Elephas maximus indicus: one gene and its partner. The protein of the gene in region 1 interacts with the protein of each later gene in a pairwise test. Links are inferred from orthologs where the notes say so. Each region holds a gene or a part of one and is shown on either strand. Other genes may lie near its edges. The genes, in order: SSC5D and SEC23IP.

Evidence for each region.
Region 2: the proteins of SSC5D (region 1) and SEC23IP interact in binary tests that used the Homo sapiens proteins (3 or more experiments, as listed by UniProt). The two-hybrid records come from large-scale screens. The link is inferred for Elephas maximus indicus from reciprocal best matches to the Homo sapiens genes SSC5D and SEC23IP.

Annotation. Positions count from the first base shown.
Region 1 is NC_064829.1:91,522,676-91,537,887, reverse strand, and holds the start of SSC5D (soluble scavenger receptor cysteine-rich domain-containing protein SSC5D), read left to right. Parts: upstream 1-7,125; 5' UTR 7,126-7,241; coding exon 7,242-7,266; intron 7,267-7,773; coding exon 7,774-7,800; intron 7,801-8,113; coding exon 8,114-8,422; intron 8,423-8,957; coding exon 8,958-9,071; intron 9,072-9,258; coding exon 9,259-9,378; intron 9,379-10,028; coding exon 10,029-10,343; intron 10,344-15,212. Other genes in the region: ZNF628 (zinc finger protein 628), read left to right, coding at 1-2,491; NAT14 (probable N-acetyltransferase 14), read left to right, coding at 3,898-3,969, 5,051-5,599.
Region 2 is NC_064834.1:70,434,402-70,449,573, forward strand, and holds the start of SEC23IP (SEC23-interacting protein), read left to right. Parts: upstream 1-6,907; 5' UTR 6,908-6,983; coding exon 6,984-7,146; intron 7,147-13,031; coding exon 13,032-13,564; intron 13,565-15,172. UniProt on the Homo sapiens protein: Plays a role in the organization of endoplasmic reticulum exit sites. Specifically binds to phosphatidylinositol 3-phosphate (PI(3)P), phosphatidylinositol 4-phosphate (PI(4)P) and phosphatidylinositol 5-phosphate (PI(5)P).

The DNA of each region.
Region 1 (15,212 bases):
CGGCAAGGTCTTCGTTTCTGAGGCTTACCTGCAGCGGCATCTGCAGTCCCACGGCCCGCCTGTGCCCCCACCTGCACCCGCGCCAGCGCCGGCGCCCCCACCCCCGCCCGTGGTCCCCGAGCTCTTCCTGGCTGCCGCCGAGACCACAGTGGAGCTCGTTTTCCGCTGTGACGGTTGTGAGCTGGGCTTCGGCAGCGAGGAGCTGCTGCTGGAGCACCAGCCATGCCCGGGGCCTGAGGTGGCACCCCCGCCCCCACCCTCGGACACACCCGCCGCTTCTACTGCCTCCAAGCCAGACCCACCTCCGGCGCTGTCCCCACCCTCGCCCCTGCCTGTCTCGGCACCAGCCACAGCCCCCGGCTTCGCCTGCCTGCCCTGCGGCAAGTCCTTCCGGACTGTGGCAGGCCTCTCGCGCCACCAGCACAGCCACAGCACAGCCAGTGGGCAGGCGTTTCGCTGTGGCAGCTGCGACGGGGCCTTCCCACAACTAGCCAGCCTCCTGGCACACCAGCAGTGCCACGTGGAGGAGGCGGCAGCTGGGCGCCCGCCCCCCCAGGCCGAGGCGGCCGAGGTCACCTGCCCACAGGAGCCGCCGCCACCGCCCACTGCGGCTCCGGCCGAGCGGCCCTACAAGTGCGCCGAGTGTGGCAAGGCCTTCAAGGGCTCATCGGGCCTGCGCTACCACCTGCGGGACCACACGGGTGAGCGGCCCTACCAGTGCGGTGAGTGCGGCAAGGCCTTCAAGCGTTCGTCCCTGCTGGCCATCCACCAGCGAGTGCACACAGGCCTGCGTGCCTTCACCTGCGGCCAGTGCGGTCTCACCTTCAAATGGTCCTCCCACTACCAGTACCACCTGCGGCTGCACTCGGGTGAGCGGCCCTACGCATGCGGCGAGTGTGGCAAGGCCTTTCGCAACACGTCATGCCTGCGGCGCCACCGCCATGTGCACACGGGTGAGCGGCCCCACGCCTGCAGTGTGTGCGGCAAGAGCTTTGCGCAGACCTCCAACCTGCGGCAGCACCAGCGCGTGCACACAGGCGAGCGGCCGTTCCGCTGCGCACTCTGCCCCAAGACCTTCACGCACTCCTCCAATCTGCTGCTGCACCAGCGCACGCACTCTGCCGAGCGCCCCTTCACCTGCTCTGTTTGCGGCCGTGGCTTTGTCATGGCCGCCTACCTGCAGCGCCACCTGAGGACGCACACCCCTGCCAACCCAGCCCCCAGCCCCAGCCCCACCGGTCCCCAGCCCCCAGCCCCGCTGGCTGCTGCCCCACCCGCCACCCAAGACGTTCACGTCCTCCCACACCTGCAGGCCACACTCTCCCTCGAGGTAGCAGGGGGCACGGCCCAGACCCCGCCCCTGGGTCCCGCTGCACCCAACTCCCAGACGTTCCTCCTGGTGCAGACAGCCCAGGGCCTCCAGCTGATCCCCAGCAGCGTCCAGCCCTCCACCCCTCCGCCCCCACCTGCGCCTCCCAAGCTCATCTTGCTGCCTCCTCCCAGTGCTAGTGGGTGCGGGGGCCGGGCTAGGCAGGGCCAACGTGCTGTGGGGAAACCCGGGCAGGGGGCTGGTGTGGTCTGGCTGCCGAGCCCTGGGGGGCTGGGGGTGCAGGGAGGAGCCAGCCCTGGGGCCAATGGGGGAGGGCAGAGCCTCATAGTTCTGCAGAATGTGGGGGGTGGGGATGCAGGGGCGCAGGAAGTGAGCGGGGTCCAGCTCCAGCCCCTCCGGCCAGCCCAGGAAGTGACCACAGTGCAGCTGCAACCGGCCCAGGAAGTGACCACGGTCCAGCTGCAGCCGGCCCAGGAAGTGACCACGGTCCAGCTGCAGCCGGCCCAGGAAGTGACCACGGTCCAGCTGCAGCCGGCCCAGGAAGTGACCACGGTCCAGCTCCAGCCGGCCCAGGAAGTGACCACGGTCCAGCTCCAGCCCGTGGCGGGCCAGCTCACCAGTCCCGGTGGGGGCGCCGTGACTACGGAGGCCCCCAACCTGCTGGTGGTTCAGAGTGGGGCAGCGGAGGAGCTGCTCACAGACCCCGGCCAGGGGGAGGCGGGTGACGGCGAGGCCAGCGCCGGCGTAGTCCAGGATGTCCACTTTGAGACGCTGCAGACGGACGAAGGGCTGCAGAGCGTCCTGGTGCTGAGCGGGGCGGATGGCGAGCAGACCCGCCTGTGCGTGCAGGAGGTAGAGACCCTCCCTGCCGGCCTAGCGGAGCCACCTGCCCCGGGCCCAACCGGACAGAAACTCCTCATCATCCGCAGCGCCCCAGCCACTGAGCTGCTGGAGAACAGCGGCGTCGGGGGCGGTGGCACCACGCTGCAGCTCCTGGCCCCACCTCCGCCTGGGCCTGCGCCCGCCCCAGCAGGCATCCCCGCGGCGCCCACCCCCCAGATGGTCCAGGTGGTCCCCGCCGGGGCCGGGGTCCAGCAAGGCGTGCCCTCCATCCAGATCGTGCAGACCCTGCCCGCGGTCCAGCTGGTGCACACATTTTGAGGACACTGACTGGTACTTCTTCCTGCTTCAGAGCGAGACCCCGGCTCTGTCCGTCTTGGCTGGGCTCCGGAGAGGGAGGGGCTGCAGCCTGAGTTTGCTAATAAAGATCGAGAATCTCTTTCCCTTTTTTTTCTTTGGGGGGCGATTGAGGCAAGAGAGGAGAAAGGGGCAATGTCAAGGTCAAGGCGGCAGCCTGCGAGCTCCGACTCTCCGGGTCTGCAGATGACTGGCTTTGCGCTTTGGGGCCAGTTACTTCTATGTGGGTTCAGTTTCCCTGTCCTGAGAAAAGGGACGCATTGGTAACTATAGGGGGAAGGTTGGAGTCAGAACCCTGGTTAAGCCACTTGTAAGTCGCCCCGCCCTCCCCTCATCTGAAAAACGAGTGGGTGGGAATTCTCACCCCTAAGGGACCGCGAGGCCAGACGCCCAGGCTGAGGCCCTTGGGCATGGGAAGGGTCGGCCCCCGCGGCCTGGATGCTGACTGCGACCCTGGCCCCTCCTGCGAAGGCCCGCGTGCCAAAGAGAATCGATTCACTAGCAACACACACGCACACGGCGCTCACGTTGCCTAGCAACTAGGGGACGTCTCGAAGTGAGCGTGCGTTCACCCTCCGCGGGCCTGGTAAGTAGAGCTCCCCGCCCCCACGGCATCTGATCTCGCGGACCCGGCCGGCCAGGGCCAGTGTCCAGGGCCGTCTCCCGATTGCTCCTTCTCCGGGGACCAGAGAGGCCACCCCCCGGCAGGATCACCGCTTCCTGACGCTGTCCCTCAACCCCCGGGAGTCCAGCGCTCTGCCCTTCCGGACACTTGGCAACCGTTGCTAAGGCCGAGTCAGGCACCGCCCGCTGCACCCCCCCCAGCTGCAAGAGTTTACGTCACTTCCGCCGGCGACCCCTTTCCGACCCTGTTCCCCCGCCCAGGGCTGTCAAGGGATCTCATCTGCCCTGCAGAGGAGCTTGGCAGGTGCTCGCTCCTGCGCCGCGGCAGGGGCGCTGCTAGGTGCTGTCCGAGAGGCAGTGGTCCAGTTCCTGGCTGGGTCCCCCAGGGCGGCCCTGGCACCCGGGAGGGCGCCCCGGGGTGCGAGGTGTGGATGTTCACAGGGCATTTAGGGGCAGATCGCTGAGTACCACGGGGGTGGGGCCGGGATCACTGGAACTTCAGAAGGGTCACAAGGTAGATGGGGAGCTTGACCTGCCGTGTGGCTCACTCGGGGGCCTGGACTCTAAGTCGTGGAGCTTCGGGCCGGACCTGGGTCACTAATGAAACGATCCCTGTCCTTGGAGGGGGCGGAGGCTTTGGGGTGAACAGAGAGTGGAGAGGGGCGCCCGCTTCCGCTGACTGTCTTGTGTTCCTCAGGTGCACGCCTGCTCCCTCAGGGGCGCGGGGCTCGGGCCCGGGGGCAGCCATGGCCCCCGGCCACCTATCGGTGAGGGAGATGAGGGAGGACGAGAAGCCCCTGGTGCTGGAGATGCTGAAGGTGAGAAGCCGCGAGTGGTCCCTGTGCGCCCGGGCCGGCGTGGAAGAGGGTCCCGCCACCCCTCGCCCTGCAGCCTGAGGCCCTGGGACCCCTGGAGGAGGGGGTTCTTTTCCTCCTCGGTTACTTCGTAGCTGGGCCCCTTCTCTCTCCAGTGCCTTCTCCACCACACCCAAGGCCCAGCCACCCCAGAACCAGGACGATGTGGGGCCAGACTGCGGTGCAGCTTCCTCTCAGCCTTAGAGTCTATGGCCCTACGTGCCACCCAGAACGCATTGGGTCTGGTCAAAGCACAGCCTCGTACCCCAGCCAGGCAGGCACTCAGGACCTTCCCAGCCTTCCTGCGCATCCCCCTACTGCAGCCTGGGACAGTTGTGTGTCCTCTCTACCTGGCATATGGTCCCCTCCCAGAATCCAGTCTGCCTTTCAGGGTCATTTCCCAGGGCCTCAGTCTGGCCCCCTGGCTGAGTGGGTGCCACCATGGCTCCTAACTCATGTATTCATTCATTTGCTCATTCATTCATTCACAAACTCCTTCACTCGTCTGCTCACTCACGCATTCATTCATCCATTCATTTATGAACTCATTCATTCATTCACCCACTCATTCATGCATTCGTTCCCTCATTTATTCACAAGCCATTCATTCTCCCACTCATTTATTCATGCATCAATTCACTCCTTCACCCCTAATCCACTTACTCTTCATTCACACTCATTCATACATTCATTCACTTACTCACTCATTCATTCATCACACATCCATTCATGCATTCACACATTTACTCATTCAGACATTCACTGATTCATTTGTGCACTCATTCATTCATTTGCTTTTTCATTCACTAACTCAGTCTATGCTCATTTACTTACTCAACACCCAGCATGTCAGACTCTGTTCACTGGTGACTGCAACACATGAGGTCCCTGCCCCTGCCTGTCTCTCTCCCACAGACCCCCTCATTTTCAAGCTCTTTGCCCCAGGTAGGACTGGCTCCCCTCTCCTAGTCCCTGGTGTGCATAAAGGCTGTGGCGTGATGGACAGAGAAGGCTCTGCTCCTGACTGCCCCCCTCCTACCCTCAGGCTGGCGTGAAGGACACGGAAAACCGCGTGGCTCTGCACGCCCTGACCCGGCCCCCAGCCCTGCTCCTCCTGGCAGCAGCCAGCAGTGGCCTGCGCTTTGTGCTGGCCTCCTTTGCACTGGCCCTCCTCCTGCCTGTATTCCTGGCTGTGGCCACTGTGAAGCTGGGCCTGAGGGCCAGGTGGGGCTCGCTGCCCCCACCGGGTGGTCTGGGGGGCCCCTGGGTGGCTGTACGTGGCTCGGGCGATGTGTGCGGCGTCCTGGCCCTGGCACCTGGCACAAATGCAGGGGACGGGGCCCGGGTAACCCGCCTCTCTGTTTCCCGCTGGCACCGCCGCCGGGGCGTGGGCAGGAGGCTGCTGGCCTTTGCCGAGGCCCGGGCCCGTGCCTGGGCAGGGGGCATGGGTGAGCCTCGGGCCCGTCTTGTGGTCCCGGTGGCTGTGGCCGCCTGGGGGGTGGCAGGGATGTTGGAGGGCTGTGGGTACCAGGCTGAGGGGGGCTGGGGCTGCATGGGCTACATGCTAGTGCGGGAGTTCAGCAAAGAACTGTGACTCACCTGCCCAAGGAGAGCTGGGTCTGGGTGGGAAACCAGCATTTAGTGAGCATCTACTGTGTGCCAGGAAGGTTCACTCCACTCTGTCCACTGCCCAATGTGGGTAGTGTTTGGACTTTGGTAGTGTGTGAACTTCTGAGAGTGGAATCCCTCCTTTCCACTCTTGGCTCTCTCTTGGGAGCCAACAAAGCTCAGCCTGTCCAACCCTCTGCCTCAGATCCAGCCTGCACTGAGAAATCTCCCCCCCTCCCATCTGTGCTACAGGCCTGGAAGAGAGATTGGGAGGGGAGAATGAGCAAGTATGCCCCCTAAGAGTGAGGCTTAGCAGCAGGGGCATGCTTCAATGGGGGTTTCCTGAGCATGCGTTGGGGTTTGAGGCCTGTGATTGGAGGGGACAGGGCTGCAGAGTGGGTGGGGAAGGTTGGTGGGGTTGAGCAGAGCCTTTGCAGGGAAGGGCTGTCTGCATCTCGGGGAGCCTGGTGGGGACTGGGGTGGTGGGGGGAGGTGCAGGGCTGCCAGGGCTGGACTGTCTGGGAAGCTGAGAACTGAGAGCAGTGGGCGGGCAGCATCCCCTCCAGCCTTCCCTTCAGACCCATCTGGTTTTTTACACTCATTTGTTAATAAAGCCCAAAACTGCTGTGTGCCCTACTCTGTCTCTGATGCCTTTTCCAGTCTGTCTTCAGAGCCCCCCTTCTGTCTGGCTCCTCCTTCCCCAAGTCGACATGAATTGTTGGTTGGGGGGGAGGGTGGAGGCTGCACCGGGAGAAGGGGAGGCAATGAGCTCACAGCGGCTCAGTCCCTGCCAGCCCTTCTGACTCACGAGCCCCATTACCGAATTTTTTCCACCTCACAGCTGCCTGGTGCAGAGAAAGAGAGAGAGCGTATATGTGTGTGAGTGTGTGGAGTTCTCACTCCCCCCACCCAAACCTTGGCCAAAACTGAGGTCTCCCCATACCCCTCCACTTCCCATTTCTTACTCATTAGAGTCATCTATATGCAACCAACCCTCCCCACAGATGCAGGAATAGGGATTTTGCATTCAAACCTACCAGGAGTAGGGGCCAGGGAGGAGGGAACTTGCTCAGTCTCCTTTCCTAATCTAGGAAGTCCTTCCTGGTGTCTGGCTGCAAGCCTGCTAGCTGCACCCAGCCCCAGATGTACCTGGCTCAACCTCCATCCCCTCCACTGTGGTCTGACCATCTTCCCAGGCTGGACAAGAGAGGAGGCAGGAGGGGGCTCCCCATCTCTGCCAGGCCCCTACATCCACCTCCATGCTGGCCCTGCCTGCAGCCTGCCACCCCAGGTCTCTAAGCCCAGGTCATTACTGGTTTAAAGCCTGGTTGGTTCCCGTGTGGGTGTTTGCAGCTTGGACACCCTCCCTCCCTCCCGCCCGCCCGCCCGCCAGCCCGCCAGCCACCCCCCTTCTCTCCACACCCCAGCCGCTGGCCAGCTCCCTCCCTGCCCCCCGCTGTCCCCTGCCGCCTCCTCGCAGCCTCTCTCTTCCTTCTGGAAGAGCGTCCAGCCCCTGCCTGCTCCTCCCTGGGTCCAGGGCGCCTCCAAGGCACTTCCCTCCTGTGGCTGCCTCCTCCTCCTTCCCCCCCTTCCCCTTTCACCCTGTCCCTGCCCCGGCCTCTGCAAACATGAGGGTCCTGGCCTGCCTCCTCGGTGAGTGACCCGTCCTCCTAAGGGACTCAGGGGTCCTGCGTCCTTGCCCTCTGACCCCTTCATCATCAAGTTCAGGGACTCAGACTTCCAGGACCCCAGTCCCTTGAGGATCCATCCTTCTTCGGGATGCCCAGTCTCTCCCTCCTGGGGACCCAAGGGACCTGGCCCCTCCCCTTGGCCCTGACCCTGGGGTGGGGACCACTCAGCCATGTGACCTTCAGCCAACCCCCTAGGGGAACACAAAGGACCTGGTCTCTAGCCCTGATTTCAGGCGCCAGGACCTGACTCTGATTCCAGCCCTCTGCAGTGGGGTTCCAGGTCTGAGATATGAGGACTCCGAGCGCACGCGCGTGCGGGTGTGCGCGTGTGCTTGTGTGTGTGTGTGTGTGTGTATACACGTGCGCACGCGTATTGGGATATTCCCAACAAAGGTCCCGCTATGCAGAAAGGACCCCTCTTGGGTGGGGCCTGCCCCTCACTCTTTCCCACCCGTCAAACCCCTTGCAGCCGCTCTAATGGGGATCCAGGCTGTTGGTAAGTCCCCAAACTCTTCTGCCATCTAGTCTTGCCGAGCTTCCAGCCTGCCCTATCGGCTTCACTTCATCCTCCACCAAAGCCCTGGCCACCCCCATCTCCACGTGACCTCTTGACTGGCCCTCCGGGGAACCACTCCCCCTGGGGACCCAGGTGTCCAACCTCTTCCCACCTCTCTCCTGAGTGCCCAGTTGTCTGGGTCCCCCAGTGACCAGCTGGCTTCCCAATTGTCCCCTGCATCCCCTACCCTCATCCTGCCCCAGGGCCTTGGGAGTGTCTCTCCCCGGGGTCAGAGCCTCCCCTCCGTCCCCAGAGCGGCTGCACCTGGCTGACGGCCCCCATGAGTGCGCTGGCCGGCTGGAGGTGTGGCATGCAGGGCGCTGGGGGACAGTGTGTGACGACGGCTGGGACCTGCGGGACGCTGCTGTGGCCTGCCGGGAGCTGGGCTGCGGGGGTGCGCTGGCTGCCCCTGGAGGTGCCTTCTTTGGGGAGGGCGCCGGGCCAGTGTGGCTCAGTGAGCTGGCCTGCCGGGGCAGCGAGGGGCGGCTGGGCTTGTGCCCCCACCGTGGCTGGAAGGCCCACATCTGCTCTCATGAGGAGGACGCAGGCGTTGTCTGTGCAGGTGAGGAGGGCTCCTTGGCTCTAAATGTCATCTGCCAGGTGAGGAGTCCCTGGCCCAGGGGTTATCTGCCAGGTGATGAGTACCTGGCCCCAGCTGACTTCTGCCAAGTGAAGGGTCCCTGGCCCAGGTGTCATCTGCAGGTGAGGGGTCCCTGGGCCCAGGTGTCATCTGTGCAGGTGAGGGGTCCCTGGGCCCAGGTGTCATCGGTGCATGTGAGGGGTCCCTGGCTCAGGGGTCATCTGTGCAGGTGAGGGGTCCCTGGTCCTTGTTTGGGGCAGCCTGTTCTCCAGCTCCTTCAGAGATGACCCAGGGACCCAAGTCCTCAGCCCCAGTAACTGAGGGTCCAGGAGTCCAGATCTCCAATCTCTAATCCCCTCAAAAGCCACTATCTCCCTCAGGGACCCCCACTTTACAAGTGGTAGCTTTGGAGCCCTGGAGGACAAGGTAATGGGCATCCCAGCCCCTGCTGCTCTCTCAGGGACGCTGTGCCCTCTTTACTGTCCCCTCCCCCTCACAGTTTCTGTTCTCTCCATAGGCCAGCGTGTGGCAGCAAATTCCAGGGAATCGGCCCCTCTTGTGGGTGGGGATCTGTGGCTGGGGCTGTCCAGGGAGTTCAGTCCAGGGCCTGAGGTGCCCCCCACGACTTCTGGTGAGTCCCAGGGCTCACCAACTAGCCCCGCCCCATGCTCTCCTGGCCTCACTGTGGATGGTCTCCTCCCAGCTCTGGGAAGTCCTCCTTGTGCCCCAGCTATATTTGGAGGCTGAGAAGGTATAGCCCAGTCCCCCAGGTGGACAGAAGTTTGAGCTCCTGACCTCATGGCTGTCTTCTCCCTTAGTCCCCCGCCTGGTAGGAAGCTCCCAGAACAGTGGTGGCTCCCGGAAGAAGAGCCCCCGGCCACCCAAGCAGGCCAAGTCCACCAGGGCTCCTGTGCTGACCACCGGGGCTGCCCGCCAAGGTAAGTCCTTGCAGGTCCCCCAAACTGGATGCCCTAGGCCCAGCTTCCGACACCCCTTGGGGATTCAGGAGGCCCAGCCCTGTCTCTCCCTCTCCCCACCACCTGCCCATTCATTTAAGTGACCTAAGTGTCTGACTTTTGGCACCCAGGTACCACCCCCATTCCTGGCTCTCTCCTTAATGGGCAGGTCTCATGCAGGACCTGATTCTGTCACTGGACAAGCCACTGCCCTCTCTGGGCCTCAGTCTCCCCAGATAAGAAATGAGGGGGTTGAATGTGCTTATCCCAAACTGTGGTCAGACAAAACCCCCAGGTCCTTATTGTCCTCCTAGGCCCCTCACAGTCCTTCTGAGTCCCTCACTATCCCTCTAGACCCCTCCCTGCCCCCCAGGCCCCTCCCCGTTCCCACAGGCCCCACCCTGTCCCCCCAGGTCCCTCCCCATTCCTCCAGACCCCTCACCATCTCCCCAGACCCCTTTCTGTCCCCCCACACCCCTCCCTATCCCCCAGGCCCTTACCTGTCCCCTCAGACCCTTCATTGTCCCCCCAGGCTCCTCACTGCCTCCTCACTCCCTTCTCATCCCCTCAGGTCCCCTGCAGTCTCCCCTGTCCCTTACTGTCCCTTTCCCACCCACTCCTCCATCCCCTAGAACGGTTGCGGTTGCGGCTGGTCTCAGGTACCCACAGCTGTGTGGGCAGGCTGGAGGTGTGGCATGCGGGACGCTGGGGGACAGTGTGTGACGACGGCTGGGACCTGAGAGACGCTGCTGTGGCCTGCCGGGAGCTGGGCTGTGGGGGGGCGCTGGCTGCCCCTGGAGGTGCCCGATTTGGCCCAGGCTCGGGGCCCGTGTGGATGGACGATGTGGGGTGTGGAGGCGGAGAGCAGGCCCTCCGTGACTGTCCTCGCAGCCCCTGGGGTCGGAGCAACTGTGACCACAGCGAGGACGCAGGGCTGGTCTGCACTGGTATGTCAGGGTGGGGATCCTTGAGGACACCCCCAGTCCCCAACCCTCTTTCCCTCTCCAGGAGGCTGCAAAGGTTTGCTCGGGTCTCAGCTCTGTTCCTCCTCCTTATGCCAGGGACCCCTCACCTGTTCAGGTGACCCCTGGGGCCAAGAGCTCCTCACCTGCTCTCCAACTCCCTCCCTCCTCATCCTCCTCTTGAGGAAATGAAAGGAGCAAGGGTTTGAAGTGTGGGCGCTACTCTCAGCCCTGCCCAGTGGTCTTGGTGAAGGACCAACTTTCCGAGCTTCATTTTTCCCAACTGTGTAATGGGGCCAAGAGTATCTGCCTCACATCATGGGCTGAGTTTGGAGGAGTCCTGCCTGCCCTCTGCCCCTTGGCTGGGCCATTAGTCTCCTAGGGCTGCTGTAACAAAATACTGCAAAGTGGGTGGCTCTAAAGAACAGAAATCTATCATTTCACAGTTCTGGAGGGTGGGAGTTCGAGATCAGGGTATCAGCAGTGTTGATTCGTTCTGAGGCCTTGGGGGAGAAACTGCTCCATGACTCTCTCCCAGCTTCTGGTACCTACAGACATTCCTTGGTTTGTAGCTGCAATGTCAATGAGATGGACTGGCACAATAGGCACAACCATGGACTCAAACATACCATTGATCATGAAGATGGGGCAGGACCAGACAACATTTCGTTCTGTTGTACATAAGGTTGCCGTGAATCAGAGCAGAGTCGATGGCAACTAACAAGTCAAGGCTTCAGAGAGGAGAGGGTTAAATGGTCAGGGAGAATCAAACCTCACTGAAGTCTTTGATGACGCTTGGTGCTTTACCAACATCTTATTTAATTCTCATGACAACCCTGTAAGGGAGATATTTCTGTTTTTCATTTATGCTCGAGGGAATGGGCTGAGCTGAAACTCAAATGCAGGTATGTCTGCCAAGTACACAGTAGGTATTCATTCCAATGTCAGTTTTCCTCTTTCCCTTCCTCTTCCCCTTGAGCATCAACTGACTTATGTAATTGACTTATGCAAGTGCTTCCTGTTTGCTTGTAGCCCCCTGGGGACCCGACCCAGCACTTTGGAACTCCATTGCAATTGCCCTTTAATTCTGTTCTTTTCTCTAGAGTACTGTTTCTTTCTTTCTTTTTTTTTTTGTAGAGACTATACACAACAAAACATACACCAAATTCAACAGTTTTCTACATGTACAATTCAGTGACACTGATCACACTCTTTGAGTTGTACAGCCATTCTCACCCTCCTTTTCTGAGTTGTTCCTCCATTAACATAAGTAAAGTCACTGCTCCCTAAGGTTCCTATCTAATCTTTCTGGTCACAGTTGTCAATTTGATCCCTTATAGATAGTTCTTAAAAGAGCATAATGCTCAAGGCAGACATTCTATACTAGTTAAGCTAAACTATTGTTTGGTTTAAAGAAGACTTCAGGGGATATTTTTGGTGTAAGGTTTAAAGATTATCTCATGGCAATAGTTTTGGGGGTTCATCTAGCTTCCATGGCTCTAAAAAGTCTGGAGTTCATGAGAATTTGAAATTCTGTTTTAGAGCAGTGGTTCTGAACTGGGGGCAATTTTGTCCTCCATGTGTTTGAGGTAGAGATAGATTCCATACTCCCCAATAACCCAACTCTTACCTAAGGATGACCCAATGGAAATATACCCTAAAACCAAGAAGTAGTTAAAATCTAGACCAGTGGTCTCAACAGGGGGAGATTTTGCCCACCCTCCATCCCTTCCACCCATGTTTTTCTAACAAATAAATCTGTCTTAGAGGAAGGACAGCTCCTTAAAAGTGAGGATGGCAACACTTTATCTCACTTACCTTGGACATGTTATTAGGAGGGACCAATCCCAGGAGAAGGAAATCCTGCTTGGTAAAGTAAAAGGTCATCAAAAAAGAGGAAGACCCTCAATGAGATGGCTGCAAGAATGGGCTCAAACATAGCAATGATTATGAGAATGGTGCAGGACCGTGCAACCTTTCGTTGTTATGGATAGGGTCGCTATGAGCTGGAGCCAACTCCATGGCACCTAACAACAACAACAGGGGATATTTGGCAACACCATGAGTTGGATGGACTCTAAGGCAACAACAACAAGAGACACTTTCTTTTTTTAATTAACTTTTATTAAGCTTCAAGTGAACATTTACAATTCCAATCAGTCTGTCACATGTAAGTTTACATACATCTTACTCCCATCTCCCACTTGCTCTCCCCCTATTGAGTCAGCCCTTTCAGTCTCTCCTTTCGTGCCATTTTTGCTGTCTTCCCTCTCTCTCTATCCTCCCATCCCCCCTCCAGTCAAGAGCTGCCAACACACTCCCCAGTGTCCACCTGATATAATTAGCTCACTCTTCATCAGCATCTCTCTCCCCCCCGCTGCCCAGTCCCTTTCATGTCTGACGAGTTGTCTTCGGGGATGGTTCCTGTCCTGTGCCAACAGAGGGTCTGGGGAGCATGGCCGCCTGGATTCCTCTAGTCGCAGTCAGACCGTTAAGTATGGTCTTTTTATGAGAATTTGGGGTCTGCATCCCACTGATTTCCTGCTCCCTCAGGGGTTCTCTGTTGTCCTCCCTGTCAGGGCAGTCATCGATTGTGGCCGGGCACCAACTAGTTCTTCTGGTCTCAGGATGATGTAGGTCTCTGGTTCATGTGGCCCTTTCTGTCTCTTGGGCTCCTAGTTGTCGTGTGACCTTGGTGTTCTTCATTTTCCTTTGCTCCAGGTGGGTTGAGACCAATTGATGCATCTTAGGTGGCCGCTTGTTAGCATTTAAGACCCCAGACACCACATTTCAAAGTGGGATGCAGAATGTTTTCATAATAGAATTGTTTTGCCAATTGACTTAGAAGTCCCCTCAAACCATGTTCCCCAGACCCCCGCCCTTGCTCCGCTGACCTTTGAAGCATTCATTTTATCCCGGAAACTTCTCTGCTTTTGGTCCAGTCCAATTGGGCTTCCATGTATTGAGTGTTGTCTTTCCCTTCACCCAAAGCAGTTCTTATCTACTGATTGATCAATAAAAAACCCTCTTCCTCCCTCCCTCCCTCCCTCCCCCCTTCGTAACCACAAAAGTATGTGTTCTTCTCAGTTTTTTCTATTTCTCAAGATCTTATAATAGTGGTCTTATACAATATTTGTCCTTTTGCCTCTGACTAATTTCGCTCAGCATAATGCCTTCCAGATTCCTCCATGTTATGAAATGTTTCAGAGATTCGTCACTGTTCTTTATCGATGCGTAGTATTCCATTGTGTGAATATACCACAATTTATTTACCCATTCATCCGTTGACGGACACCTTGGTTGCTTCCAGCTTTTTGCTATTGTAAACAGAGCTGCAATAAACATGGGTGTGCATATATCTGTTTGTGTGAATGCTCTTGTATCTCTAGGGTATATTCCGAGGAGTGGGATTTCTGAGTTGTATGGTAGTTCTATTTCTAACTGTTTAAGATAGCGCCAGATGGATTTCCAAAGTGGTTGTACCATTTTACATTCCCACCAGCAGTGTATGAGAGTTCCAATCTCTCCGCAGCCCCTCCGACATTTATTATTTTGTGTTTTTTGGATTAATGCCAGTCTAGTTGGTGTGAGATGGAATCTCATCGTAGTTTTAATTTGCATTTCTCTAATGGCTAATGATCGGGAGCATTTTCTCATGTATCTGTTGGCTGCCTGAATATCTTCTTTAGTGAAATGTGTGTTCATATCCTTTGCCCATTTCTTGATTAGGTTGTTTGTCTTTTTGTGGTTCAGTTTTGACAGAATCATGTAGATTTTAGAGATCAGGTGCTGGTCGGAGATGTCATAGCTGAATATTCTTTCCCAGTCTGTAGGTGGTCTTTTTACTCTTTTGGTGAAGTCTTTAGATGAGCATAGGTGTTTGATTTTTAGGAGCTCCCAGTTATCTGGTTTCTCTTCATCATTTTTGGTAATGTTTTGTATTCTGTTTATGCCCTGTATTAGGGCTCCTAGGGTTGTCCCTATTTGTTCTTCCATGATCTTTATCGTTTTAGTCTTTATGTTTAGGTCTTTGATCCACTTGGAGTTAGTTTTTGTGCATGGTGTGAGGTATGGGTCCTGTTTCATTCTTTTGCAAATGGATATCCAGTTATGCCAGCACCATTTGTTGAAAAGACTATCTTTTCCCCAATTAACTGACACTGGTCCTTTGTCAAATATCAGCTGCTCATACATGGATGGATTTATATCTGGGTTCTCAATTCTGTTCCATTGGTCTATGTGCCTGTTGCTGTACCAGTACCAGGCTGTTTTGACTACTGTAGCTGTATAATAGGTTCTGAAATCAGGTAGAGTGAGGCCTCCCACTTTCTTCTTCTTTTTCAGTAATGCTTTGCTTATCCGGGGGTTCTTTCCTTTCCATATGAAATTGGTGATTTGTTTCTCTATCCCCTTAAAATATGACGTTGGAATTTGGATCGGAAGTGCGTTATATGTATAGATGGCTTTTGGTAGAATAGACATTTTTACTATGTTAAGTCTTCCTATCCATGAGCAGGGTATGTTTTTCCACTTAAGTATGTCCTTTTGAATTTCTTGTAGTAGAGCTTTGTAGTTTTCTTTGTATAGGTCTTTTACATACTTGGTAAGATTTATTCCTAAGTATTTTATCTTCTTGGGGGCTACTGTGAATGGTATTGATTTGGTTATTTCCTCTTCGGTGCTCTTTTTGTTGATGTAGAGGAATCCAAGTGATTTTTGTATGTTTATTTTATAACCTGAGACTCTGCCAAACTCTTCTATTAGTTTCAGTAGTTTTCTGGAGGATTCCTTAGGGTTTTCCGTGTATATAATCATGTCATCTGCAAATAGTGATAACTTTACTTCTTCCTTGCC
Region 2 (15,172 bases), on another chromosome or scaffold:
TCCCAAGTTCGTGGGTCAGGCCAGAGGCTTCTCCTGATTCACGTAACTGCAGGGGCTGATGAGCACAAGATCGGCAGGTAAGCTGCTAGCTCAAGTTCCAAGAACCAGAAGCCAGATGGAGGATTCAGAGCAAGCAAAAGCCCACAAGCATTGCAGAAAGCCCATATATATTGGATGCAAGGCACACCCCCAAGGAAACTCCCTTTAAACTGATTGGCTGTTCACAGCAGATCTCATCATGGAGGTGATCACATTATATCAGTTCTCATGGAGGTGATTACATCATTACATAGCTGCCAAACTACATCATAACTGCCAAACCATTGAGAATCATGGCCCAGCCAAGTTGACATACAACCTTAATCATCACAGTCCACCCCTTGCCAGCTTGGCACCTGTACACAACTTGGCACCTGTACAATCTCTAAATAAAGACAATTATAGTGTCATACTTACACCTAACATGATACAACTAACACAGTATAACCAAAAACTCACTAGCCGTGTTTGCATCCTGCATTTTATAAGTGAAGAAAATAAACATATTTGATGCACACATACAAGGCAGAAATGCTCATAACAATCACAGTCCTTGGTTCTGCAACTGATCACGTGGTCATAGCTGCTATTTAGAACTACCTTCTTCCACCACCCATTCCCATTCCGTATTCCCTTTACCCTTAGCAAGCACCTAAGCTGGGTGTGGTTCTTTGTCTGGTGGAGTGACCCAAACCTTCATTTCTGAAGGGTTTGGGCCATTAGTAGTGATGTTAGAATTGGGTTACTGTAGTTTTCCATTGACTTTAATCGCAGGGCTTGGTAGTACTAAGAGAAGCCCTAAAGGATCTCCTGAATTCCAGACGTATTCTTCTTTACCTCCATTATGTATTATTAATTTGATTTCTTCTTGGTAATTGGGCTCCATCACATCAGCCAATATGTATCTCCCTTCTTTGCCTGTTGATCCAGAGGCATAAGGAACCCAAAGTAGCTGGGTGGTATTCTTAGCTTCCAGTTCAATGGAATCAGTGTTATGTCTCCTGGTGGGAGCAGTCCTCCCTTTGGAACTAAGACCTCTAGTCCTGCAGAGCATAGGATCATAGGGACAGGAAGCAAAAGTTTTACAAGTGGGCCCCTAGGGGTAATAGTGAGTGGTGCCACTCCCATTTCCACCCCTTGATTCCTGGACCCATGAATCCTGGCTATTGGAGAAAGGGCACCATATATTGGAGGCTGGTTTAGAGCATATACAGCCTCCTGGAAAACATTGCCCCAACCCTACAAGGTATTGCCACCTAGCTGGCACTGTAATTGTATCTTGAGAAGGCCATCCCATCATTCTATCAAGCCAGCTACTTCAGGATGTTGGGGAAACATGGTAAGATCAGTGAATTCCATGAGCATGGGCCCATTGCCTCACTTCAGTTGCTGTGAAGTGAGCACCTTGATCCGAGGTGATGCTGTATAGGATACCATGATGGTGGATAACGCATCCTGTAAGTTCATGGATGATAGTTTTGGCAGAAACATTACACTCAGGGAAGGCAAATCAATATCCAGAGTAAGTGTGTATTCTAGTAAGAACAGAACGTTGCCCTTTCCCTGATGGAAGCAATCCAAGGTAATCAACCTACCACTAGGTTGCTGGCTGATCACCTTGAGGAGTAGTGCCATATTGGGGACTCAGTGTTGGTCTCTGCTGCTAAAAGGTTGGGCATTCACCTGTAGCCAAGTCAGCCTTGGTGAGTGGAAATCCATGTTGCTGAGTCCATTCATAACCTCCATCCCTGCCACCACAGCCACTTAGTTCATGAGCCCATTGGGCAATGATGGGAGTGGCTTGGGAATAGGATGACTGGTTTCCACAGAACATGTCATCCTATCCACTTGATTGTTAAAATTCTTCTCTGCTGAGGTCACCCTTTGGTAAGCATTCACATGAGACACAAATATCTTCTTTGTCCCATTCAGAGAGGTCCATCCACATACTTCTTCCCCATACATCCTTGTCACCAATTTTCCAAACATGTTCCTTCCAAGTCTCTGACCATCCAGCCAAACCATTGGCCACAACCCATGAATCAGTATACAATTGCACATCTAGCCATTTCTTCTTCCAAGCAAAGTGAACAACCAGGTGCACTGCTTGACGTTCTGCCCATTGGGAGGATCTCCCTTCGCCCTGTCCTTCAGGGAGGTCCCAGAAAGGAACTGTAGTGTGGCCGCTGTCCACCTTCCAGTGGTGTCTGCATATCACGCAGAACCATCTGTAAGTCAACTGATCATAAGGAACTCCCCATGAAGCCATAGGAGCCGACTGGAAGATGGAAGATAATGTGCCAGGAGTGGAGACCATGGGCATTTGGACATTTGAGGAAAAGTACTCCAGGTGTGAAGATTACGAAAACCTGGCATGTTGATGAGTTAGGGGTAGAATGATATACATGAAGCAGGAGAGGTAGGTAGGGGCCAGACCATGAAGGTCTTAAGAGTTACGCGAAGAGCTTTAGCTTTTATAAGTGCGATGGAAAACCATTGAAGAATTTTGAGCAGGAGAATGATGTGATTTGATTTACATTATAAAAACATCACTCTGGCAGAGATAGAGCAATTCTTCCCAACTATTCTCATATTAGAAAATTACAGTAATTATAGAGCTCTTTGGAGATAGACATGTATTCTAGAATGAGACTGGTGTTGCCATAATAAGGACAATATAAGATGTGCTCTTAGTTCATTGATTTAATATTATTTTCTTACTTTCAGTACACAAATTAGAAATATTCAGAACACTAGGTGGTTATTTATTTTTTTTCTATGTCTTGTAAAATTCTATGGTATCTCTGAACGTTATGCAATATGGTAGTTTACACATATACAACTGTGGTCAATAAATACGGGCCAGAACTATAGTAACTGTAAGGAACCCTGGTGGCATGGTGGTTAAGTGCTCGGCTGCTAACCAAAAGCCTGGTGGTGTGAACCCATTAGAGGCTCTGTGGGAGAGAGTTGTGGCTATCTGCTTCTGTGAAGACCACAGCCTCGGACACCCTATGGGGACAGTTCTACTCTGTCCTAGAGAGTTGCTGTGAGTTGGAACTGACTCAACAGCAACAGGTTTATAGTAAGTATGTTTCAGTTATTGCTGCTTAATGAACTACCCCAAAATCACAAACATTTATTATCTCAAGGTTTCTGTGGGTTGGGAATCTAGGCACAGCTTATCTGTGTACCTCTGGCTCAAGGTCTTGCATAAGAATGCGTTCAAACTATCTGCAAGGACTGTGATCTCTTCTGAAGACTCTATTGGGGCAAACGGGGTCTGATTCCAAGCTCATTCGTGTGGTTGTTGGCAAGCTTCAGCCCCTGCCACAAAGGCCTGTCTATAGCCATTGTGCTGGGTACTCACACCTCTCAATCCGATAACTCATGTCCTTCATTTCTGGGAATTAAAAAATTGTTTTTTGTTTTTCCTTACATTTTTTCTGTTCTTTATTCTTAGGAGGACTCTTATTATCCAGATATTGTATTTCTTTGCCTGGTACTCTAGTTTTTCTATTATTTTTCTCTCTTCTAGTTTTTATCTTTCGGAAACTCTGGTGGCGTAGTGGTTAAGAGCTACAGCTGCTCACCAAAAGGTCGGCAGTTCAAATCCACCAGTGCTCCTCAGAGACTCTATGAGGCAGTTCTGCTCTGTCCTATAGGGTCACGATGAGTTGGAATTGACTCAATGGCAACGGGTTTGGTTTGGTTTTCCATCTTTTTGGAAAATTTCCCTATATTTGTCTCCTAACTCTTCTACTGATACTTAACTCTTTCTTTTTTGTTCCCTGAATATTATTGTTCCCTGAATTTTTTTTTTTTTGGTTTAATAGCACACTGATCATGTTTCTTGGTTGTAAATTTTTATTCCTCTGAGGATACTATCGATAGTTTTTTTAAAAAAAATTAATTTTTGTTCTTCCTGCGTGGGTTCTATCTCTTCTAACTTGCCATTTCCTGTTCCTTTTGTCTTGCTTTGGTCTTTCATCTTAAAGGCCTTTCTCAGCTATGTGGTAATCCTTGGTTGCTCATATTTGAAGTCTATGAAGACTAAAATGACGGGAACTCAGAGCGTATAAGCAGGGCTTGTTTATTATGAACTTAATTATGGAGTCATTTGGCTGAGCCATTCTTATTGGGAAAACCTGATTTCAATATCTCTAGGTCTTTTGTTCCCATTCTACAGGGAAGTGTCTTCCAATCTCCTGCCCAGAGTTTGAAGACCTAGCTGCTAGTGTTCTTGGAGCCAAATGGGGAAATCAGGCTGAGGATTGGGGAAGAAATTGTTCCATTATTCAGTAAGTACATACTTAGTTAATCTTACATCTGTTTTACCCTCTCCAGAAGGAAGAAAAAAAAAGCCTAGTATTATTCCAAGGAGGTGGATAGTCAGTAGTCCAGTTACACAGAGTTGAGGAGAGGACCCGATTCCTTCTTAAACAGACTTTCAACCAATTCTCCTAAGTATTGAAAATCTCTCTGCAGATTCATTGCTACTTCTAGAAGGGCCTGATGCCATCAGGTCATAAGCCTATGGTGTAGATGGCTATGAGTGGAAATTGACTCAACAGCAATGTTTTGTTTTTTTTTTTTTCGGTATGGTGCAGATCAAGTTGCCTTTGGACTTACCCCACTTCTGGTTTGCTAAATTATCTACAACGTGTCTATCTTTTTTGTGGCTTCCAAAATCTTGTTGCTATCTAATCCTCTCCCATTCTCCTCATCCTTATGGGTTTATGCTTTTAAAAAAGAAATCCATATTTGTGCTTTCAGCATGGTGTCAAGAGGAAGCAATGAAGATTCATCTGTTCAATCTGACATCTTTCCCCAGAAGTTACTCCTGTTTTTTTATTCCTACTGCAAGCACTCCAATTTGAACTATCATCATTGCTCACTTGGTCCACTGCAACAGCTGGCCAACTGCTCTTCCTACGTATAGGCTTGCTCTTTTCTTAACCATTTTATCACACTGAAGTCAGCATGAACTTTCTACAGAACAAATATTATTTCCTCTTTAAAAAAGAAACCCAAACCCATTGCCATCGAGTTGATTCTGACTCATAGAGACCCTATACAATAGAGTAGAACTGCCTGCCCCATAAGGTTTCCAAGGCTGTAATCTTTGCAGATGCAGACTGCCATACCTTCCTCCTGCGATTATTTCTCTACCCTCCCTTAAATCCTTTATTGGTTCCCTATTGCTCTTAACCTATAAGACCCTGCACCATCCGGCCCTTGTCTACTTTTCATCCATATCTCCCAACTTTTTCTCAAAAGCTTATTTGTCTCCAGCCGTTACTATACCTCTGTTTCTCTTGAAATCCAAATATGGTGTCTCAGAACAACCCTGCATACTGTTCCTTTATCTGAAATGGTCTCTTACCTCTTCCTATAACCCCACCCCGCTAAGTTTTTCCAGTTAACTTCAACTCTTTATCTTTGAGGTCTCAATTTCAATTTTTCCTCTTCAGGAAAGGCTTTCATGTCATCCCAGACTAGGTAGGTTCTTTGTTGATGGTCTGATTGTTCAGAATATTTGCTACTTCACCCTATGGAAGGGTTATACCTCCCTCCCCTCATGATGTATTTCATGTAACACACTTTGGGAAATTCTACAGTATAACACTCACCACACATTTGTTTATACATGCTTAGTTGTCTGTCTTCCCAACTAGACTGTAAGCTCCAGGAAGGAAGTGTCTCGCTCTTACACATCATTGTATCCTGTGTGTTTAGCACATTGCTCCCCACCCCCCAAAAAAGCATGCTAGTTACAGAATTAATGAATAAAGTTAGGTTCTATATAGATGCAAACAGCTTGGGGGGGGGGTTGGGGCCAGAGCCAGGAAAGTCTCATTATTTCAAGGTTTCTCTTGGGGGTCTCTTTTGAGCTTCTTCCCCCCATATTCCAAGAAGCTGAAAGACTGCTTATCTGTTATTAATAGTTCTATCTACTCTGTCCTATAGGGTCGCTGTGAGTCGCAGCCGACTCAACGGCAATGGGTTAATCTCTAAATATATGAAAGATAACAATTAGATCCAAGTTATTCACAATCCACTTTGGATTGAATTATCCAAACTACTGTGTAGATTTATATACAAAAAAATTTATACACAAAGCTATTTAAAAAGTCACACCCTCCCCCTAAATTTCAACCACCTGGTTTCTCTTTTAAACAATTTTTCTCTCCCTATGGCTTAAAAGGAAACCGTGCTGGTGTAGTGGTTAAGGGCTATGGCTGCTAACTAAAAGGTCGGCAGTTTGAATCCGACAGGCGCTCCTTGGAAACTCTATGGGGCAGTTTTACTCTGTCCTACAGGGTCGCTGAGTTGGAATCGACTCCACGGCAGTGGGTTTGGTTTTACGGCTTAAAAACTTCTAAAGCTTTACAGTTTCTATTCCTGGGCGAGGTACATGTGGGTGCAAGAGTGGGTGAGTTTGGCTCGTAGTTTGTTGCGAATTGCCAACAATCCTCCCTCTTCCTCTGCCATCAGAGGGCTGGCAGCAATCTGCCACCCGCGGCATTCCGCCCTTTCTTCAAAACCTTTGCCAGTTGAACACTCCCGTTAGTACAGGAAGCCCAGCGCGTCCCTGGCAATCCGTGACTTCCAGTTCGTGCACTGATTCAGTACGGGCAAGGCTCACTCTCCCACGCTCCTGCACTGGCCCCGGCCCTGGCCCCGGCCCTGGCCCTACAGCTCCACCCTGCTTCGGCAGTCGTGCAGCGTGTCACGTGCAAGATTCGGGCGTGAAGGCCACGCCGCCATGTTGATCTCTGGCGGCGCCCGCTAGGTGAAGGAGGAGGGCCGCTGACCAGCCGCCGGGATTTCCGGCGCCCGTGCGCAAGTGCGGAAGTGAGTCGGCCCCGAGTGTGACTGGTTTCCGGTTGGCGGTGGGCACCGGCTACACGGCGACGTGTAACGGACGGTGGGCCGCAACCATGGCAGAAAGGAAACCTAACGGTGGCGGTGGTGGCTCCTCCACCTCCTCGTCGGGCACCAACTTACTCTTCTCCTCCTCAGCTACGGAGTTCAGCTTCAACGTGCCCTTCATCCCAGTCACCCAAGCTGCAGCTTCCCCGGCTTCCTTGCTCTTGCCAGGAGGTAGTAAAGGGAGGGGAGGATCCCCTGGGACGAGTGTGTGTGTGTGGTGGAGGGGAAGGAAGGAGGGCGTGGAGTGACGAGGAAGGAACCCTCTCTCGTTTCCGACTTGTCCAGAGTTCGCATTCCACAGATCTTTTTTGAATACGGTAAAAATGGCATGGCGCAGTGGTCAAGAGCTTGGTAGTTCAAATCCACCAGCCTCTACTTAGAAACCCTATGGGACAGTTCTACTCTGTCTTACCGGGTCGCAATAAGTCGAAATCAAGGGGTTTTGGTTAACAGGTTGCAATTTAGGTTCAGGAATGCTCAGGGTACAATTCTATCAGGACAGCCTCTGCTCAGCCGTACCCACAGGCATGCCCCTCTCGGCCCCTTGGCCTCTGCTGTGCTCAGGCAAGTCTTACAAAGCTCTTTTAGCTCTGTTGATAAGTGCCCGGAAGCACCCTACTCTGCCACGAAGCCTCCTGCCCTGAGGCAGTCAGCTCCCTTGCTCAGTGGGATGAGCCCGCAAACCTCCTGCCAGTCTCCTGGTTCTGCTGCTCCTGCTGCCACTGTTTCTGTGCTGCTGGTTCTCACAGTCTTGCCATTCGGTGCTACAGCTCTCTGTCTCTGTCTCCTGGGTCTGAGAACATCTCAGTGCAGGGATCCTAGGTTCAAAGGGCGCGCTCTGCTCCGGCCTCTTCGTGGTAGTAAGGTACCCTCTCTGCTCTGGGAAAGGCTCTCTTTTAAGCCTAGTGGGATGGCAAAACGGACCAATACCCTAGTTAGGATTCCATACACCTTATTTGCATGGTCCCACCCCCACAAGGATGCCATGCATCTTATTTACATTATTAGCAAGCTGTCCAATCCCGTTGGTGGGCCGCAAGCACTAATTTTCATAGTCCCACCCAGTCTTTTGGTGAAAGTTATGAGACCGTGGTGAGGAAGACCATATAAAAGCCATCCATCGCACTGCAAATACCTACAGTGTGCGAGATGCTGCCAGGGGATGCAGATAAACAGTGCCCCTCCCCCGGGAGCCCACGATCTAGAAGAGAGACAGACCAAACCCAAAACCAAACCCATTGCTGTCAATTCCAACTCATAGTGACCCTACAGGGCAGAGTAGAACTGTCCCACGAGGTTTCAAGAAGTAGACTGCAATATCTTTCTCCCACAGAGCAGCTGGTGGATTTTAACTCCCACCTTTTTGGTTTAACATTTGAACGCTTAATTACCGTGCCATCGGGGCTCCTAGAAGAGAGGCACAGACATGTAATATCTGCAAAGTAGAAATACAGAATGCATTCTTCATCTTCCAAGACAATATATTCTGCTAAGAAACTTTTTGTTGTTCGCTTAGGCCCTCACTCCTATGTGTTCCTGTTCCTCTTTGTTCATATCTTTATTATCGTCTATAGAGATTGCAAGGAGCTTTGGTGGTACAGTGGTTAAGCGCTCAACTGTTAACTGAAAGGTTGGTGGTTCGAACCCACCAGCCACTCCGTAGGAGAAAGAGGTTGCAGTCTGCTTTTGTAAAGATTTACAGCCTTGGAAACCCTTTGGGACAGTTGTGCTCTGTCCAGTTGTTGCTAGGTGCCATCAAGTTGGTTCTGACTCACAGCAACTCTGTGTACAACAATGAAACACTGCTCGGTCCTGTGCCATCCTCATAATCATTGTTATGTTTGAGCCCATTGTTGCAGCCACTGTGTCCATTTCATTGAGGGTCTTCCTCTCTTTTGCTGACCTTCTGTTTTACCAAACATGATGTCCTTCTCCAAGGACTGGTCCCTCCTGGTAACATGTCCAAAGTACGTGAGATGAAGTCTCCCCATCCTCACTTCCGGGGAGCACTCTGGATGTATTTCTTCCAAGACAGGCTTGTTTGTTCTTCTGACAGTCCGTGGTATGTTCAGTATTCCTCGTCAACATCATAATTCAAAGGCATCAGTTCTTCAGTCTTCTTATTCATTGTCCAGCTTTCGCATGCATACCCTGTCCTAGAGGGTCACTATGAGTCAGGATGGACTCGAGAGCAATGAGTTTAAGGTGATGGCTTTTTTTAACGATTATTTGGCATAACCAGTGCATAGTGTGTAGGAGCACAGAATTTCTGGATTCTAGTCCTGGCCTTGCCAGTAACTTGCTATGTGACCCCAGGCATGTTATTTTACCTCTCTGTGCTTTCAGTTTCCATATATGTGCAGACTCACAGGGCTGTAATGAGAAATTATTTCTGTAAAGCAATGTCTTACCTGGCTCATAGTGTTACATAGTGTTTGTAAGATAAACTTGTCTACCTTCCCATTTCAACTGTGGACTTCTTAAAGCTTGCAGCTTTGACTTAATTACCTTTTTATTTCTAGTATTTTGTTTAGTGCCCAGCACATAGATCCTCAGTAAATGCTGAATGTACCAGTAAATAATTTATTTTTGCTTGAAGGACTAGGGAAAGTTTCCTAGAGAAGTGAGGAGAAGCAGACTGGGGCATCAGGGTTCCCCTTCATACATGAAAGGTCCACTTCTCTTGTGTTGTTTCTTCTTGGTGCCTATTGTCACCTGACATTTGCATTGATTTGTTTGTTTTATCCCACTAGAATGTAAGCTTCATGAGAGCAGGGACTTCGTTTTATTCACTCTTCCTTCCCCAGTGCCTAGAATAGTACCTGGCGTGCTAACCGTGGACCAGTTAGTCAATAGATATTTGTTGAACAAATGGAAAGACAGGAGTCAGAAATACGTATGTTGTGCTTTGGCATCGTGTCTGCCTTCAGGCACTGCCTTTCCGGCGAAGGACCAGTCTGGCTGGAGCAGAATGCCATGGGAGGTTGCAGGAAGAAGGAAGATCATACCTGGGGTTTCACATCATCCTTCTGCTTCACAAACGTTGTCTTGTTTCATACCCCTTTTCCTTGCTATATCATATTCGTGTGTGTTGCTTTCTACTAATGCTAAACATTTTCATTGTCAGCTATGTGGATAACTGCCATAACTGGCTTTAAAACTCTTGTTTCTTAGAAACAGAGCTTGTATTTTTGTGAGGAAATTACAAGATTTTAGAATGAAAATTCTGCAACAGGTATTTTTCCATCTCTAAAAAAAGGGGTTTCATAGTTAGAAAGCCATTCAGGAAACTTCCAGAGACAAAAGAAGACCCTGTCTCACTGGAAGCAACAGTTAATCCTATCATTGAAAGAGACGCATAGGAAGCAATTTCCTTCGTTCAGCACACATGGATCGAGCAGCTTCCATCTGCTGGGCCCTGTGATAGATGCTAGGGAGACAAAGCAGAGCAGACAGCCCTGCCCTCAGGGGCCGCGCGGTGTACGGGTGTACAGACATACCCCGCTGTGTCGGCAGTCACGGGGCAGTTGATAGCAGCTACACGGGAGTTGAAAGACTGCTGTGAAAGCTGTGGTCTCAGGCTGGCCAGCGGGGTGAGGACTTCCTTAGGCCTTCAGAACCTGCTGAGGAACTGATGCTTGAGCTGAGTGCTGAAGGATGCATAGAAATTAGGGAGCCTAGGAGACAGTGTTTGTAAAAGTCTGCGGATTTGGGAGTTGGTGGTGGATGGTATGGACAGGGATGGGTGACACACAGATACGTTCCCCCTCCTCTTTCCTTTTCCTCTCCCTCTCCAAGTACATCCATGTGACTGGAGTTTGTTTAGGGGCGTGGCTCTTGCAAGGGGAAGCTCATGTGGCAGATGGGGACTGAATCACTAAGGCCTCACTGGTAGTATGGTAATACTGAGGAGTCTGTAGTTCATCTTGTACGTGTGGAGGAGCCTTCGAAGGATTTGAAACAACGCAGTGATACTCACGGTTTGTTTCAGAGAGACTGGAGAATGGGTTGCACGAGAATAAGGTCAACTGGAGTAAGGCTGATTGTGGCAAGATTGGTCTGGAGTCTGGAGGCTGTTGTGGAGTCAGGCAGGAGCAGACAGCACTTGGCCCCAAGTCAGCCTCATTGGGTCTGAGGAACAGGGAGCAGGTGTGAGAGATTTTAGACTATAAAATTGTTGGGGCTTAATGAGTCAGTAGAGGCCAGACTGTCAGCTCTCTAAGCACAGCAGCCCCTTCTGCCTTGCTCCGTCTAAGCCTCAGTACCTAGCGCCATGCTTGGCACATATAAGTGTTTCCTGAATGAGTATCTGAGTGACTAAATGAAGGGTGTGAGAGTGAGGGAGGAGATCTGAGAGACTGGAGATTCCTGCTTTGAGTGTCTGGGTGCATATCGGCAAACGTCCATTGAGGTAGGGAGATGTGGTAAAAGGAGCAGATGGGGTGGGGGCAGTTAGGATGCTAAATTCAGTTTTAGGCTTGCTAAGTTTGAGGCATATGTGGCTGAGTCTGTCAGGAATGCTGAGGAAGTAGGTGGAAAGTAGGATTTGGAGCACATGAGAACAGTTTAGGTCGGGGATAGAGTTGGGAGTGTCTCAGAGCATACAGGTGCTGATTAAAGTTGTGGTTAGATGTGGTATGTGTTGGTGTATAATTAGAAAGTGCCCCTGATGTGAGGCTAATGGTATGTTGAGACCAGTATTTCATTTGTAATTGATGCCAGTCAGAAAAAAAAGTGTCTTGGATCAGGTTGATCTTTCTGTATAGGATGAAAGATGTCACAGAGGTTTTTTTCCTACGCTTGTAATGGTTGGGGGACGAACTAAGAACCACAGATGAGCCCAAACGAGGTTCTAGTGACTGAACAGAGAGGGTATGCACTGGAAGTGGAAGACTGACTGATACAAGCTTGTGCAGGAAGAGATATTTCCGTTCCAAAGGAACAACAGAGAGGAACATTTTGAATAGTGGCGGATCTTAGTTCACTTGATGTGTGTGAGATATAATGGGAGCAACCTAGCAGCACAAGCCAGAATCTTCCTTCCTAGTGGCCTCCTTCAGCAGAGTCAAGCAGGAGCTGGGAGCTTGAAAGCAGACATCCCCTGGCTGGTCTTCAAGGGCAGGAACCATAGAGTACCTGTGTGCTGGGCTTGAGTCCAGCCTGCTGGTGGACCGCATGCCACCAGCAGATAAGAGGGAATGAGTCATGAGAAGGACAAGATGAGGAGGAGGAGGAGGGTGAAAGTTAAAACAAACTAAGCGCTCCTAAAAGTGAGGTGGACTTTTCAGGCTGCCAAGAAGGAAAAATACATGTTTTATAACTTGGGATTGGAACAGACAATAAATACTTCAGTATTGATGATACCCATGGTGACGATTAAGTCGGGGAAAGAGAAATGAAGAGAACCCCCAGGTGACATTTCTAGGTATTTGACATTCTGTAACGACTAATGTCCACCTGTGGTATTGTGTGATTTTAGGGTTGGCAATTAGTGGTTGACCCACTTTGCCTTGGGAATGCAAATACCACGTATTCACTTGCACAATAAGTGCTTTGTAGGTGAGAGCCCTGACAACACCCCTTCTTGTCTGTAGAGTTAACATCCGTACTCCAGTTTCTTGTCCGTACTCTAGAAAGAAATTTATGTCTATTCAGGTAGTGGAATAACATTTGTATTATTTCTTACCAGGAAAAAAAAAAAGCATTCAAAAATAATTTATAAATATAGTAGGGGTAGATTTTGTTTCTATTGTAATAAGCCTCATCTTTTTTTTATGGTTATATAGAAATACTAATTAAAAAAGTATGAGAGGGTTAGTGCAAAATGTTAATAGTCTGGGAGGTGGGCTTATGAGTGAATTGTAATTTTCCCTCCTTTTGTTTTTTTATTATCCATATTTTGTAGTTTTTCTTTTTAACTGTCATTTGTTTTTTCTGTAGTACAGAAATACAAGTTGGTAAAACTAGGAGGTAAAATTGCTAGATCCGCCTTGTGAACTCATATCCACAGAATGATGCAGGGAGTATACTTTGAACCATTTGCTCTCCTTTTCTAGAGGATTCCACGGATGTCGGTGAGGAGGACAGCTTCCTTGGTCAGACTTCTGCTCATACGTCTACCCCACAGACATTTAGTTACTTCTCTCAGGTATCAAGCAGCGGTGACCCTTTTGGAAATATTGGGCAGCCACCATTAACAACTGCAGCAGCACCGGTTGGACAGTCACCGTTCTCTAAACCCACAACTGCTCTCCCTTTTACAACTGGATCCCAAGATGTGTCGAATGTATTTTCACCGTCCGTTTCGAAGGCTCAGTATGGTGCTCCACCTGCGCCGCAGATGGGAGTAAATGCTTACCCGCCTTCTCAGCAGAGTGGTCTCCCTCCTTCACATTTTGGGAGCCCACCCCCAGGAGCACCCCAGCAAGGATACAATCCATATCGCCATACTCCTGTCAGCAGCAGGGCTAATCCTTATCTTACACCACCACAGCTGCAGCAGTGCCAGACACCTGGCCATCCCACCCCCCCGCCACCCGCTGGACCCCCTGTTCAGACGTACCAGATTCCTCCTGGATCTTTGCCACCGGTATGGAGACAGGTTTTTATATGCTAATCATTCACTCTTAGTTTTTCTCTCTCACTGTAGCCTGTTTTTAAAAATGCCCTGTATTTTATAATTTGTGTGGTGACATTATTTTCAGAGGATATTCTGTGCAAGCTGCATGCCTTGAAGTAGCCATTTTCTTAAAGGTAGCTCATTGTTTTGTTGTATTGTACTTAGGGTGACTGTGAGTCCGAACCGACTTGACGGCCCCTAATAGCAACAGAACTCATTGGGTGGTTCAGTTTCTCTCTCTCTCTCTTTTTTTTTTTTTAAGTAAATAGACTTTAATTTTTAGAGCTGTTTTAGGGTTACAGAAAAATTGAGCCAAAGTACAGAGAATTCCTGTATTAGCCCTACCCCAACAGTTTCCCTATTACTAACATCTCACATTGATGTGGTATATTTGTTACAATTGATAAAGATGGTTCACATTTTATCTTAATTTATATCACCTATTTATTGAAGTAAAAGGAGCCCTGGTGGGGCAGTGGTTAAGCACTCAGCTGCTAACCAAAATGTTGGCAGTTCAAATCTACCAGCCTGTGGCAGTCTGCTTTGGTAAAGATTACAGCCTTAGAAACCCTATGGGGCTGTTCTACTGTGTCCTGTAGAGTTGCTGTGAGTCAGAATTGACTTGACGGCAATGAGCTTGGTTTATTTATTGAAGTAGTAATTGATTTTAATGAGTAAGCTACCTGCCAATACTTCCGGATAATGATAATAAATGTTGTCTAGGTGCACGTGAGAGTAGAAATAATCACTGTCTTAACAGACTGCCAGTTTCTCATCTTATAATCGCACAATTTAATCAAAACACTCAATTACACAGGCTAAAATTGATTACTTCAGTACTTTCTCTTATTTATATCTATGGGGCTTGAACCTAGACAGCCAGACTCTGTCTCGGGGGCGATGGGACAGTGTTTGCGTTGGGCATGTTTTTGGAAGTGCCCATATGCTTTTTTCTGAACTGATAACTCAGCTGAATTCAAAACAGGAATCAACTGAGTTGAAGAAGGGAAAAGGTTAAAAGGAAGAGTTAAGAACCCAACCCAGTGTTTTTCTAGTATAAATAACCCTTTGATGTACATCCTTGTAGGTAAATTTTTGCTTATTATAATAATTATTCCTTAGGATAAATTCTTAGAGATGGAATGACTGGGTTTAGGTGTGTATACATTTTAAAGGTTAAATAAATCGTGGGCAATATATTGCTAGATGGGTATCTATCAAGTTGTTAGTTTACACTGCCATCAGCGTGAGGAAGTCCTGTTCTCTTTGCCACTGCTTTTGAGTTTTTTTTTTTTTAATTTTAATTGTTTTGGGGCCTAGTTATTAAACTAAATAACAAAAAAACTCATTGCCATTGATTTGATTCTGACTCATAGTGACCCTATAGGACAGAGTAGAACTGCCCCATAGGGATTCCAAGGAGTGGTTGGTGGATTTGAACTGCCAGCTTTTAGTTAGTAGCTGAGCTCTTAACCACTGAGCGACCAGGGGCCCATTAAATTAAATAGTTGTTCAGAGATGTATCTGGGGTAATTATTACTTTTGTCAGTTTGGGTCAGAAGCATACACAAAGTTGTT